2 linked regions of the Saccharomyces cerevisiae S288C genome follow. The gene in region 2 interacts genetically with the main gene of each other region. Each region holds a gene or a part of one and is shown on either strand. Other genes may lie near its edges.

Evidence for each region. A genetic interaction does not mean that the proteins touch.
Region 1: mutations in ATG22 (region 2) and PEX31 together harm fitness more than expected from each alone (negative genetic interaction), as found in Saccharomyces cerevisiae (2 studies listed by BioGRID).

What each region holds. Positions count from the first base shown.
Region 1 is NC_001139.9:500,226-507,105, reverse strand, and holds PEX31 (peroxisome biogenesis protein), read right to left. Parts: upstream 4,169-6,880; coding exon 2,780-4,168; downstream 1-2,779. Other genes in the region: ECT1 (ethanolamine-phosphate cytidylyltransferase), read right to left, coding at 1-137; mRNA splicing protein PRP18, read right to left, coding at 281-1,036; transcription factor IIF subunit TFG2, read left to right, coding at 1,247-2,449; cullin CUL3, read right to left, coding at 4,740-6,880.
Region 2 is NC_001135.5:51,827-60,313, forward strand, and holds ATG22 (Atg22p), read right to left. Parts: upstream 4,702-8,487; coding exon 3,115-4,701; downstream 1-3,114. Other genes in the region: GLK1 (glucokinase), read left to right, coding at 1-514; glucose-induced degradation complex subunit GID7, read left to right, coding at 819-3,056; SRO9 (Sro9p), read right to left, coding at 5,548-6,852; GFD2 (Gfd2p), read left to right, coding at 7,200-8,487. UniProt on the Saccharomyces cerevisiae protein: Vacuolar effluxer which mediate the efflux of leucine and other amino acids resulting from autophagic degradation. The release of autophagic amino acids allows the maintenance of protein synthesis and viability during nitrogen starvation.

The sequences.
Region 1 (6,880 bases), on a different chromosome or scaffold from region 2:
TGCACACCACAGAATAGTTTACCATTTTCTTTTGAAACTGTTCGACGAGCCTGCAAAATGGCTCCCGCATGCCCATGATGTGTGAAATCAAAGCAGCCGTCTATCCAAACTTTATCCGGATCTAAGTTTACCGTCATCCAGTCAGTATATTTCAAGTCCCGATCCTGTAAAGCATTTGTCTCTGGAAAATTGAACAAAGGCTATCAACATCTGCATTCTTGCTTCTTATTTTGGCCGCATGATATCGTGCCACGCGATAACGAAAACAATAGTTCAACAATTAGGCTAAGCTATCGTGGTTGCTGGTATACCATTCTTCAAAAGTTATTAATCTTTTAATACTGGTAATCCATAATCGCGTTCTTTCATCAATCATTATGTTAGCAGCATTCCGGCCTCCTTGAATTTTCGAATGTGCACTACGAGCATGAATGCCTACGCTAGTAACACCAATAGGCCAGGCCACATTGCCGATACTGAGTTTCATATAGGACTGAACGGCTAAATTTATTTCTTTAGGTTGTTGTAAATGATAGAGAACGGTCGCAAGGGAAATAAGTAAATCCGGGGCAAGCTGGTTCCTTCGTAGTTGCAGTAGGAGTGGAAAGAGTGCTTTTTTAGTGTCTAAGAACAGCTCCGGATGATAAGCTTCCAAAGACGCCTTCCAACGAGATAATATTTCGTGAATATATAAATTACATTTCATTGACAAAAGAGGTTTTCCTTCAGTAGAACCAATTTGTGATGGATCAATGATTACAGAGATGGTTTTGTCTTGAGCTATCGCTTCTTGTATCCTTTCTGGCCGATTTTCTAATTTGCTAATGGTGGTCCTAATATCGTCACTCTGATTGTCTGACAGGTTTTCTTCATCTGTACTTTCTTGTTCTACCTGTCGCGGTGTTTCGTCTATGTTTGCGGATTCATGTGGCTGGAATTTCTCAGTGCATGGTGGCTGAACACCTTTAGAGTTGGCCAGCTCTTTCTTCTTCTTAGAAATTTCACCTTTTAAGATACTGGCTAGATCTAGGTCCATTTTATGCTCTTATTACTTGTAGAGGAAAAAACATTGAAGTTCTTTCCATTGGGGCCCTTTCCAAAGGTCGATTCTCTTCTTAACTTTTTCATCTTCCCTTGCGCGAAATGAATAAATTATCAGGCTTGAAATTAGAAGAATAAGACATATGCTGTTGGCTTCAACGCATAACGCAATATTAAGAGTAAAATAGAAGACCAACTTAACACCATGAGCAGTGGTTCAGCAGGGGCACCAGCACTTTCTAATAATTCCACGAACTCTGTCGCGAAGGAGAAATCAGGTAACATTTCCGGTGATGAGTATCTTTCGCAAGAGGAGGAAGTTTTTGACGGTAATGATATTGAGAATAATGAAACCAAAGTTTATGAAGAATCCTTAGATTTGGACTTGGAACGTAGTAATAGACAAGTCTGGTTAGTTAGATTGCCCATGTTTCTAGCAGAGAAATGGAGGGACAGAAACAACTTGCATGGCCAAGAACTGGGTAAAATTAGGATAAACAAGGATGGGAGTAAAATCACACTTCTATTGAATGAAAATGATAACGATTCTATACCGCACGAATATGATTTAGAACTTACAAAGAAAGTAGTAGAAAATGAATATGTTTTCACAGAACAAAATTTAAAGAAATATCAACAACGTAAAAAGGAGTTGGAAGCAGATCCTGAAAAGCAAAGGCAAGCTTACCTGAAGAAGCAAGAACGTGAAGAGGAACTTAAGAAGAAGCAGCAGCAGCAAAAACGTAGAAATAATAGAAAAAAGTTTAATCACAGAGTTATGACAGATAGGGATGGTAGAGATAGATATATACCATATGTGAAGACGATTCCCAAAAAAACCGCCATTGTGGGTACAGTTTGCCACGAATGTCAGGTTATGCCATCAATGAATGATCCTAATTATCACAAGATTGTTGAACAGAGAAGAAATATTGTCAAGCTTAATAATAAGGAAAGGATCACAACTTTGGATGAAACCGTTGGTGTTACGATGAGCCACACAGGTATGTCCATGAGGTCAGACAACTCGAATTTCTTGAAAGTGGGGCGTGAGAAGGCCAAGAGCAATATTAAATCTATTCGTATGCCAAAGAAGGAAATCTTGGATTACTTGTTCAAGTTATTTGATGAGTATGACTACTGGTCCTTGAAGGGGTTGAAGGAACGTACTAGGCAACCTGAAGCACATTTAAAGGAGTGTTTGGATAAAGTTGCCACTCTAGTGAAGAAGGGCCCATATGCATTCAAATACACTTTAAGGCCAGAGTATAAAAAGTTGAAAGAGGAGGAGAGAAAGGCAACCTTAGGTGAACTAGCTGATGAGCAAACAGGTTCCGCTGGAGACAATGCGCAAGGAGACGCGGAGGCTGACTTGGAAGATGAAATAGAAATGGAAGATGTCGTTTAGTTGACAATCAGATTTTCTTCATTAATTTTATATTTACGCAGTTTCTTGAGCCCTATATATACTCTTTTTAAAATTTACAGTTTTGTTTAATTTATTATGTCTCTATTAGTTTTGGCTATCTGTACATATGTATTTAGATGCATTGAAGTTCCGTAAAAGAATGCTTGCTGGAATAAGAGACTGATGGAGAACTTGCCATAACCGCGCAGATACTTTAAAGCACAAGATTGAATTTGTGCTCCATGCAGCCAATGAAAGAAACTCTGAGATTGCTGTGTGCCCTTGCACCGACCAGTGTGAACGTTGTTGTCCATATGGGGCATGCACTCATTATAGAGAAGGAGACATTGAAACATCAGATATTTGTATTAATTTGCTACTGTCCGAGGAAGGTATGATATGCACTTCATTTGCTGTACTAAATGACACTTTTCTTTTTCTAACTCTATTATTTTCTTCACTCTTCAGAGCATGAGAATTCGGTGTAGCTTTTTCTACAGTGGGCTCATCGTCATACGTTGTTGTTACTGTTGCAGTCCTGATCCACCTCCTTCTTCTTGTGTACTTTTTATATGTGTCCGTTGCAGAGGGATTATTCCAGGTGTTATCATAATATATGAAACCTTCATCTGCACCTGGCTTAACTTTTGTCTTAGCAGCAGAAGCAGGAAGTTGAATGATCCCATCATTTGTTAGGTCAAGCATCCAATCTTTATCGTGCCATTCCCAAGCCATTCCCGACTGCTCCTCTGGTAAAGTAAACACTTCTGGGCTTGGAGAAGTATTTAGGAATTCATCTGTCCAAGATGCGCGCTCATAACTCAACATAGTTGATGTCCATCCGATGCCAAGCCAGCGGCGCTGGTTTTCAAACAGAGCAACCTTGAAAAGTACAGTCTTTTTAGTGTTAGATGTGTTCCCTACCTCATTCCAAACAAAGGACCTTATTTTCTTATTGACAGAAGCAAACAAGCGCCTATTATTATCTGGTCCACCAAGGTCTAATCCTGTTATGAAAAATACAAGTAATCTAACAACGCGAAATTTCCACAAGTATCTTCTCATTCTTCGGATTAGTTTAGAATGGTACGTAAGCACATACAGACCCCCTATTAACATTAAATAGTTTGGAGATAGCACAAACACTGTTAGAAAAATATAAACTGGGGATAGGAAGGCAATGGTAAATAACAGTCTTCTAACATCCTGAGCGCTCAAAATCGTAATAGGAGATAACACAGCGCTAGATTTCATAGAAACCCTATCCATAACGTGTATTATATCATCCAATGAAGGGCAAGATGCCATTGTTTCTTGAACGTGCTTGTCAATTAAAAGATATACCCATATTATACCAACGATCATTAAATGTCCAAAATACCTTGTAATAAATCCAAAATATAGAACACAAACCGTAAATAAGAATATTCCAAGCAAGTTTGCAGAGACATTGTCATTGGACCAAGTGATGATACTTAGAAAGTTATCCACAACAATTAAATATGGGTATAACCTCACTAATGACCTGGAGACTGTTTTAGGTGTTGAAGTCAATAAAGGAGATGATAAAATAGCCTCTTGATCTTCCTCATAAGTTTGGGCGCTTAATTTACCTCTTCGTTTTCTTAAAGCGCTACGAATGTGTTTATTCTTGCTTTCTGTAGACTCAGCTACTGTACTTGAGGTTGGCTCTAGATTTTCATTATTTATTTCGCTCATACTATCAAATAAAGGGAAACCAAGGCTTGACAACCAGGGAAGAATACCAAATTTAAAAGTGCCGCTTTATTGATAATAATTTTGGTGAGCTTCTCTTATACCGTAAATTTCAACATATATTTTTCTACCAGGAAAAGTGAAATACGGCCGCTAAGCATCTGAAAAAAAAAAAAGAGCAAGGCGCTGCTATTGATAATAGTTCCTTTGAAGCAGTGCTACGCAGGTCTGAAAGGCTCGTAACTTTAACTTACTTAATGATTAAGAAAGAAATTATTTGACTCAACAAATTCCTAGAAGTTTTTTATAAAAATATAATGAGGCATAATAAACTTCAAGAGATATCGATTACCCACTCCACATTACATTCAAGTTTGACTGGGATATATAGTCTACCATAACTATGTTATTATATATTTTGAAAGTTTCACTAAGGAATGCAGGATGAACATTCAATTAGTATCGACGCATATCCTCTTAATATTGTTCGCTCTGGCAGCCGGATAGGAACTGCCATCTATATATACTGTTGGCATTCTGCAAACCTTATACCTGTGATTTTCATTATAAGCAATTAGGAAAGGTAATGGTAATAAGAGGGGTCATCTGCGTTTCTCTGGATGTATTCTTTCTCTATTAAAAGCTGAATGCTTCGTTTCAAAATGCTCGGTGTAAGACTGAGCCGAGACTGTGTCCGTTTCGTAGTTCTTTCAAGTAATTGCTGATGGCTTAGCTTACCTTCTGTTTTCATGATACGAACAATAATAGCACTAAGCTCCATAACAATTTCATTATCATAAGTGTCCACGGAACTTGCGGTTGCCAAATTATCTGATTTCTGAGATGGTAGAGGGCATGCAATAACCGGCACTTTCACTTTCCTGTTTGGAGAAGAAAAGAAATAATTAACTGAAAATTTCATATTTCCTGAACTGGATGATTTTTTCAAAATCTTACATCTGGGTATTGTCGACATTGACATTACAAGAGACTTAACGTCATCTATGGGAATATGAGTTAGTTCATATATTTCCCCCAACGTTAATTCTTCATAATCTTCAAATAGAAGGAAAATCACTCCAGCGTAAACAGAAAAACTTATTTCGTAGTAACCGCTATTAAATTGGCAGCCAATTTCAATTACACTTAGATGATGAGCCCACTTTAGCACTCTTTCTTTGTATTTTAAGCTGTAATAGCCCTCAAAGCCAGCTAAAATTTGTGACATTCTAGGAGGTAGTGAAATACCTTCATCAATTGGATTAGTACTCTGAAAGGGCCAGCTCGTTCTCGTCAAAACTTGTGGTGCAAAACTCAAATATTCTATGCTGTTGATTGTTGAGTGTTGGAATGCTTGATACATTTCAGAGGATAAAGATATATCTCGCAGCATTATCTCCAATTTTGAGGTAAAAAAAGTTCCTAGAACCTTCTTTATCATTTGCACCATCCATTTTTCAATTTCCACTAAAGACCTCTGCTGCAGTAATCTTCTGGAGAGTTGTTTTTTGTAAATCTTTTCAAATATATCCTTCTCAGTTAGGAGTCCGATTAATTTGGTACTATCAAGCAAATCTTGCTTGATCTTCACTATTTCAGCATCTTTTTCCTTGGTTCGTTTCATACAATGGTCCACGTAGGTAGAAAGATACTCAGATGGTAATGCTCCTTCTTTAGAGAAATACATTGAGAAAACATCGCCAAGTATTGCATTAGATACATCCCCGGTCAAATTATTAAGACGAACAGAACCAAAATCAATACTTTCCAAAAACGAGTGTTGACTGCGATATAGCTCTACAATTTCCGAAGACCAAGTAATCGCATTCTGCCCTTTTTTGCGGTTACCTTCATTAAAAGGAATATTTATGGCATTTTTATTGATGTAAGATTTAATAGATTCAATGACAGTAACGCGATATTTTTCCTCGCTTGACAAGTCATAAATTTCTTGGAGTAGCTTTCCATTTGAAATTACCATTGCTTCGTGCGTTAGATCTTCAATAATATCACTCAACTTTCCCCATATAAGGACATTTTCTAATACAGTCTTCAACTTATTATGAGAATCCACATTTAGAAAAGAGGAGTCTAGCATACTTTCAAACTGCCTTAACTTCCTAATCTTTTCCAGGCTCTCAATTGGCGTTAATAATTCAATATCAATAGCTTTATTGTAGTATTCTTCTGTCGCGCTAATCAAAACCGGCTCAAAATCGGTTAAGAAAAAACTATCTCTATTGTCATGTAATGTCTCCATCATTCCTATTAGTACTTTCCACAAACTAGTATGTTCGGAGTCGACAGATCCTAAATTACGAATCCTTTCTATATCAGATATCAGTGCTGAGATGAGAGAAGATGAGCATTTTTGCAATATTTCGATTCGGAAAAGATCGAGGCACATGTCGTATACCTCCATGCATCTATTTGGTTTGCAATAAACTTTGTCCATATACATCATTAAGTCTCCCGTTATTTTAAAACAATGGCATTGCACCTCCCATAACCGTGCCATAGTTCCAAGAAACTCATAATCATGAGTATTGTCCTTGACTATCGTTTCCCTCAAAAGCGCTAATTTTTGGATTAAATAATCTTTCAATCTGTTATAAAGTATTGGCCCCTTTTTATTTAAAACGATAGTATAAATGGTCTTGTACACTTGTTCGAAGGAAAGGTCGGCCATGTCATCGCTGTATATATGATCAATGG
Region 2 (8,487 bases):
CTTGGGTGAGGTGTTGCGTAACATTTTAGTGGACTTGCACTCGCAAGGCTTGCTTTTGCAACAGTACAGGTCCAAGGAACAACTTCCTCGCCACTTGACTACACCTTTCCAGTTGTCATCCGAAGTGCTGTCGCATATTGAAATTGACGACTCGACAGGTCTACGTGAAACAGAGTTGTCATTATTACAGAGTCTCAGACTGCCCACCACTCCAACAGAGCGTGTTCAAATTCAAAAATTGGTGCGCGCGATTTCTAGGAGATCTGCGTATTTAGCCGCCGTGCCGCTTGCCGCGATATTGATCAAGACAAATGCTTTGAACAAGAGATATCATGGTGAAGTCGAGATCGGTTGTGATGGTTCCGTTGTGGAATACTACCCCGGTTTCAGATCTATGCTGAGACACGCCTTAGCCTTGTCACCCTTGGGTGCCGAGGGTGAGAGGAAGGTGCACTTGAAGATTGCCAAGGATGGTTCCGGAGTGGGTGCCGCCTTGTGTGCGCTTGTAGCATGATCTTTTTACATTTTTTTGGTTTGTGTACGTATCCCACCGTACTTACCATCTTCTCTCCTTTATATATATATATATATATGTATATTTTCAGTGTATATACATACATTCTTATACAATACCGTATAAGAACGTATGTATGTATGTATGATTTTCTCACATTAATGAACAATATCATCGGAAACGGGCCTTTGGTTTTTAAGGGAAAATGAAGAACAATAAATGCCTTGCTAGGTCTTCCTTTATCATTTTTGGAAGTCAAATATGAAAAACACTTCCAAGGGGGCGTACTACTTCAACTAATAAAATGTCACACACTAATAAGATCGCATACGTGTTGAACAATGACACGGAGGAAACAGCCTCGCCCTCTTCCGTTGGTTGTTTTGACAAGAAACAGCTCACTAAATTACTGATACATACTCTAAAGGAGCTGGGCTACGACTCCGCCGCTAACCAGTTACTGCTAGAGAGCGGCGGATATCAAAATGAGTCTAACCACATCCAGACTTTCTTCAAACTCATCAAGACCGGCCAATTCCATCTTATTAATTGGCAGATTGTTTGCTCGCTGCCCCTTGCCCATAGCTCTCCGCTAAGGTCCGAATGGCTTCAAAGGCTGCTCATTCCCACGCCGACGCCCGCCACGACTTCACTTTTCGACCACATGCTCCTGCAACTGCAATACCTGCAACAGCTGATGAGCTCTGTAAATTCATCTACTTGTTCGGACGCAGAGATCGCCACGCTCAGAAATTACGTAGAGATCATGATTCTAGTTAATAGACAAATATTCCTCGAATTCTTCCATCCAGTCACAAATTCCGCCTCTCACAAGGGCCCTCACACTGCACTGCCCGTCCTGTATTTGCGCAAAATCCTCAAAAACTTCATCGAGATATGGGATTCCCTGCTGGTGTCTAACGATCAGTTCCTAAATGAAGAAAACATCTTCAATCCGGAAACGACCTTGAGAGAACTGTCGACGTACCTGACCAACCCAAAACTAACCGCGCAGTTGAACCTCGAGCGAGACCATCTGATTGACGCCATCTCCAAATATATCGATCCGAACGAACTCGTTCCCAAGGGTCGTCTCTTGCATCTCTTGAAACAGGCCATCAAGTATCAACAATCACAAGACATTTTTAATATCATCGATCCGGATGATGACGCCTCTTTCTCCTCTCCACCCCACCGGATCAACCTTTTGCAGGATAACTTCTCACACGATCTGACTGTGACCTTTCAAGAATGGAAGACTATCCAAGACACCACAGACGAAATTTGGTTTTTGACATTTTCGCCCAATGGCAAGTATTTGGCTTCTGCGACTTCCGAGTCTTCAAGAGGCTACTTCATTACTGTTTATGATGTGGAACAAGACTTCAAAATTTATAAGACTTGCGTGAGCTTGTCACAATCCGTATTGTACCTCATGTTTTCTCCTGATAGCCGGTATCTGGTTGCTTGCCCTTTCAGCGAAGATGTTACCATTTACGACATGAATGCCACCTCCCTGCCCGATGCGTCTGCCACAGACTCGTTCCTACTATACCCTTCTACCAGGCTCTCGCCCATGGACTCGTTTAAACTGGACACCACCACGTACCCAGATGATACCGAATCATCAGCATCATCTTCCTCGAGGCCGGCAAACGCGAATTCTAATCAATCAAGAGTATGGTGCTGCGATGCCTTCCACACTGCGGAACGTGCGGGCTGGATGGTGGTTGGATCGCCCGACAGAGAAGCTATTGTACACTCACTCACCACGAAAGAGTCACTTTTTAGCTTAAAAGGCAGGACTTGTATCGCGTTGGGCCACGATGAAAACATCTCTGGGAGAAAATCAATCGATCCTGCAAAAGTCCTTTACAAACCAACAAGTAGCAATGGTAACTGGCAATATGTGGAGGACGACGAAACCTTTCCACGTGTGCACGACGTGAAAATCAGCTATGACGATAAATACGTGCTTTTAATGACCCACCAGGGCGTTATAGATGTCTACGATTTCAGTGGGTTCCCCTCCAAAGAGGAGCTATCTAAGCAAACAGTGGATCCCAAAAACTTTCTGATTCCAAGGATCGCAAGATTGGACGTGGGCAAAAACATGACTTGTATCTCATTACCGCTAAATACCACGCATCAAGGCTTCCATAGGCAACAAATATCCGAGTCTCAACATTTGGTATTAGTTAGCCTTCAAGATAACGAATTACAAATGTGGGACTATAAAGAAAATATTCTCATACAAAAGTACTTTGGACAGAAGCAACAGCACTTTATTATCAGATCTTGCTTCGCCTACGGTAATAAGCTTGTCATGAGCGGATCAGAAGATGGTAAAATTTACATTTGGGATAGAATTAGAGGTAACCTAGTATCTGTTTTATCCGGTCATTCCACGGTAATGAGTAATTCCACAAAACCCATGGGGAAAAATTGTAACGTAGTTGCATCAAACCCTGCAGATAAAGAAATGTTTGCTTCTGGCGGTGATGACGGTAAGATAAAAATCTGGAAAATTTCAAGAAATTAATACTCCACCTTATATATATACGTAAGCAAAGTTTTATGTAACAAAAAAAAAAAAAGAACTAATCCAACCTTCTTTCACTTTCAGGTAAAACTTGACTGAGTTCTTCAGCCTCTCTTCTACCTCTCTTGACATCCAAACAGTTTAGCACAGGCAATGATAGCATCAAAAGCAAAAAGAAGAAATAAAACGAATAGCGAATATTATGCGTTTTATCGGTAAGCAGTCCAACAAGGAAGGGTCCCAGGATGGACGACCCCTTATCTGTGATACTGAACATACTAAAAAACGTGGATTCTTTTCCTGGAGGTACAATCAAACTGAAAACTGATCTTGAAACCGCGGACAGGCCACCTAGTGATAATCCATACCAAATGGCCAATAAGAACATTTCAAACTTATGCTTTAAACCGAACGCATTGAAGAAAAATCCAAGAATACCATAAAATGGTATGAAACTTGCCCAAATGATAATGTACATCAAAGTTTGACTAGAAGTCCACCGAAACTTTGTGGCAAGAAATTGTGGAATCATAAAGGCACCCAGCATTGCATTTACAACGGTCAAAACACTTATCATGATTAAATTGAGGGTACTCATGTGCAGTTCTGCCTTGGAGAACAAAACCGCTGTAGAATTTATAGTTGTAATGGAATCACTAATAATAAACCACGCAATAAGAAAAATCATCACATCTTTCAATAGTCTGGCATGTTTAAACGATTCGAAAAGCGAAACCCAACCATATGAAAGGTAATTCTTCCAGTTTAGTTGACCCAAGGCGTCTTGCTCACCGGGATACGGACTGCGGGCGGATGCTAATGTAGAATCGTCAACTCTTATCGGTATTGTCACATCGTCAATCAACCAGATCATGGGCAGTTGCCACACAAACCACCAAATCCCAACGAAAAGAACAGCCACTTGAACATCCTGCTTACTGCCCTTTTTAGATGCGACTAAGAACATAGATACAATCTGAACAATGAGGGCACTTGAATAACCTAAAGATGCACCTCTACCGCTAATAACAGTAGTTAACGAGTCTACCTTATCAGGTTCATAAGCTCCTTGACTTTGACATTTCAAAGAATCCTTGACAAAAATGGGCAGAAGAGAATTCCCAACAACATTGATAACGCCAAAACAACCATTGGCCACTATATAAAGCCCAGCCAGAGAATAAATCTGGGTATCATTCAATTTTGAAATCGCAACAGTCGACAATGCGCCCACAATACCAAACCAAACCAGAATTCTGCCTTTGAATTTAACGCTCCCCCAGAGATCTACTATCCCTGAAACGGAAATGACTATTATAGTTTGGAATAAAACGCTAAGGGAAAAGACATATAATGCAAAACTTGAAGTATCTACGAAGATCCGATTGTTGAACAAACCAAGAACACACTTATCTGAATCACTACCCGTTTCTGACAGGCAGGGTATGGAGTGATCGTGAACTTTTACACCATTTATACTCGCAAATTGCTGCAGTAGTAAGGGAATATACGTTGAAACCGCAGAAACGACAAATGGTTCGCTAGAAAATGAGTAAGCGTACCATCCCTTGATATTGTTTTGGGCTTTTTTTATTCGATAGTTCGTTACCGATTCATTCATATCATTTATAGTTCCATAGCTCATATCTAATGTAGAGAATATGTTATGAGCAAACTATTGCTTATAAGGGCAAAAACCGTGGTAATATAGGTACAGTTTGAAATCTTTCCTTTTGTTTACACTACGCATCTTTCAATAGCTGAGGTATTTTCGTTTAGGAAAATACCGTTTTAAGGAATTAATTTTAGCAATTTCCTAAAATTGTTGAGCGGCGCTATCAATGCCGCACAATACAACAATTAATAATCTAAGACACGTTGCATTATACATGACAGAAGCTAAAGCATGGTCTTAGATGACAATAAAAAGGAATTTGACAGCACAAAAGAGAAAAAAAAAACTATACATAAAATTTTTTACATATGAATTGCTTAGAGTAAAATAGGCATTTTTCATATCTTCTTCCCAATTATTAAATTAGCAAAAAATTGAATAAAAAAAGCAGGTGGTTTAAGAATTGCGCAGGGAGAAGAAAGAATATCATATCTCATGATGGTAGCCACTTAGACAGAGAGAAAACGAAGTGAGAAGAGGCTAGTATTTTTATATCTTAAAAAAAAAAAAAAACAAAAAAAAAAAAACATAAATATTTGTATCTTATTGCTTATGATGATAATGTACAATGAATTCAAAACATGAAAATTGTTCAAAGTTTTTATTTTTATTTTCTCTTTCGTATTAAACTGATGGAACAAATGAAAAAAATGGATAAAAAAACAAAAAAAAAAAAAAAAACAAAAAAAAAACAGCTTTGCTGGAGGATGATTAACTTTTAATTTTTTTAATTATTAGGTTTTTCAATTTTTTATGGTTTTTTGTGTAAAATGCAATGAACGAATCCATTTTTTATTTTGCAAGTGTGAGAGGCCTTTATAAGGAAGACTCGGATTCACCGGCAGCAACCGGCGCAGAGTCTTCTTTGGTTTCTTGTTCTTGAGAAGCGAGTTCAGTGGATGATTCCTCTTCTTGTTGAGGAACAGGTGGTAGGGATATCATGAATTGGTCCAATGCATCGCCGACCAGTTCTTTTTCAATATTAATTTCAGTTTCAAAAGTTTCTGGTAACCAGTTTGACCAGCTCTTGGAACGAACGAAGTACTTATCCAATGGAGATGGTTCTTTGGCTTCACCGGTAACGTTATCACCTTCCTTGGCGGCCAAAGTACCTTCTGCAACATTGACGGTAGCGGCTTCGTTAGCGACAATTTCTCTCAATGCGGCTAAAATCAGGTTAGTGTCACCTCCGAAGGACATGTTAACAACTCTGTAAAACTTAGAGATTAAAGACAATGGAGCAAAACCATCCTTGGAGAGTTTGGACCTTAAGTAATTGTCGACGGTCAAGTTTTCTTCGCTGAAATAGTATTCAATTTGTCTAGCAATGTTGTTGATGGCCATTAACACTGGTTGGACTGGATAAAACTGTTGCTGTAATTTGACCATAGGTTGTTGAGGATGTTGTTGGTTGTGATGGAAGTGGTTGTGGTATTTAGAGCGGTTGTTGTTGTTATTACGAGCGTTGCGTCCTTGGTAAGGTTTAAACTGTGGTGGGAAGCCTTGGTTCTGAGGCATACCGGCGTTATTACTGTTGTGGAACTTTCTCCTTTGAGGACCATTGCTGTTATGGTGATGACTGTGGTGATGATTACGGTGGTGAGGTGGTTGTTGCTGTTGTGTAGATTGACCATTTTCTTGAGAGGTAGCGTCTTTTGAATCTTCCTCACCTACTGCCGATTCAAAGCCATCTTTCTTCATTTGTTGTTGCTTCTTAGCATTATGTTGGTGATGCTTCTTTTTCCTGTTAGCATTACTCGACGATGTCGACGATGCTGCAGTTTTGTTGTTTTTGCTCTTGTTGCTGTTGCCATTACTTGCACCATTCTTGGAACCGGATCTTTTGGTGCCAGAGACGGTAATGGAGGCCTTGATGGGAACCCACTTGGTAGCAGTCGATGATTTCGGAGTGGGTGTTCTGTTCTTCTTCTTTCTTGTGGCATCCAAGTCTTCTATTGAGATAGTAGAAACAGGGATCTCAGTAGGAGCAAGTTTCCATGGGGAAGATGTGGGCAATGGTGCCGGCGTCAAGTTGACTTGCTTGCTCTTGGAGCTCTCTTGTTCTTGCACTTCTGGGACTGGGGCAGTAGCAGTGTTTGCGGCGGCGGTTTCAGCAGACATCGTGGGCAGAGAAGTGAAAAGAAGATGAAACACGTTAGCAGGTCCAGAGTAATCCTGATGTTCTATTACCGATCTAGGATCCCAAAAGATCTTCATAAAACCGAAAAAGATGTTAAGAAATGTTTACACTTGTACTTTTCTTTCTTTGTTCTTGACCTACCAGAAGTGAAAAAAATTTTTCATTGCGTGGGTACATCCGTGCACCATTTCTGAAAAATTTGCGATGAGCATCCCTCAAAATCCGTATTATCCGCTAGTGTTTTGAGGTTCAACAAGACAACATATAAGAAGGGAAGAAGGAAAGGAGGCAATGAGAACTTGGGTCTTGCTCGAGAGTCCAGATCCACATGCAGGTTCAAAAAATGGTGAGAGATAACAGTAATAACGGTAGCGATAAAAGCGTCCATTGGGAGAGGAGGAATAATAACGGCGCAGGCCCCCGTTATCGTTCCAGAAGCGGTAATACCGGTGCTTTGGCAACAAAACTAAGTAATGGGACGCTCTCTGTCAGAGGATTAGTGAAGGACCGAACAGGAAGCGGCAAGATCGCGGGCTGTGTGGAGGCGTTTCTGGATGCCAGGACCCAATTGAATACGCCCTGGGACCGTGCTAAGTGCAATTGGCTGGACCAGATAGATTACTATGTACAGTTGAGAAAGACCGCGTTTTCTAAGGAATTGGACCAACTAAGGAAGCCCATGATCGATGCATATGTGGCGGAGATGAGGCAGAAGTTTGATGCCTCCTATGGACAATCCAGGGCGCAATTGGAAGCCAAACTGGCGCAGGTGGACAGTGAATGGCATATGGTACATGGTGATGTGCATGCAAAACTGGAAAAACTCGTGGAAGAACGCCGGTTTTTGAAAAGATTAAGCGACACGATCGTACCACCCAGGTCCAAAAGATCACAGCGGCTGTCTCCATTGACCAAAGAGGACCGAGCCAACTGTATCTGTCCGCAGCCCAAAGGAATGAGCGACACCGCTTGGTTCGAAGCCATTCAGAAGAAAATGTTAGGAATGAATGGTACCATCAAGCTCCTAGAGACAGAACAGAAACTACTGGCTGACGAGAAAAACAGCGTGAGGAAGACGTTCTGGCCCATGGTGGAAGCACATTCACGCTCGAATGAATTTGCTTATCTGGAGAAATGCATCAGGCTGATGGCCTCTCAGAGAGCAATATGCTTTTGTCTTGATATAGAGGCTTTCGAAACAAACCAGAACGTAATCACCGAAATTGGGATTTCAATTTATGACCCCAGGGAAAATATGGTGCCGTCAATGGTTCCAATTACAAAGAATTACCACCTAATTATCGAGGAGTCCCTGGAACTTAGAAACCAAAAATGGGTCTGTGACTACAAGGATTGCTACTTATTGGGAGAAAGCTATGTTTTGAGCTTGAAAGAGTGCGTGCATTTCATTCAATCACTAATAAACTATTACTTGGTCCCGGTGACCGAAGAAGACAAGACATGGTCAAGGGCATTTGTTGGTCATCACGTGAGCGGGGATCTTAAGTGGCTGGAGACTATTGGTGTCAAATTCCCTGGCAGAGGGTATGAAGGCCATCTGGACCATACGCTGCTTTTGGCTGAAACTCCCGGTGATCTAGACGTGTTCATCTTGG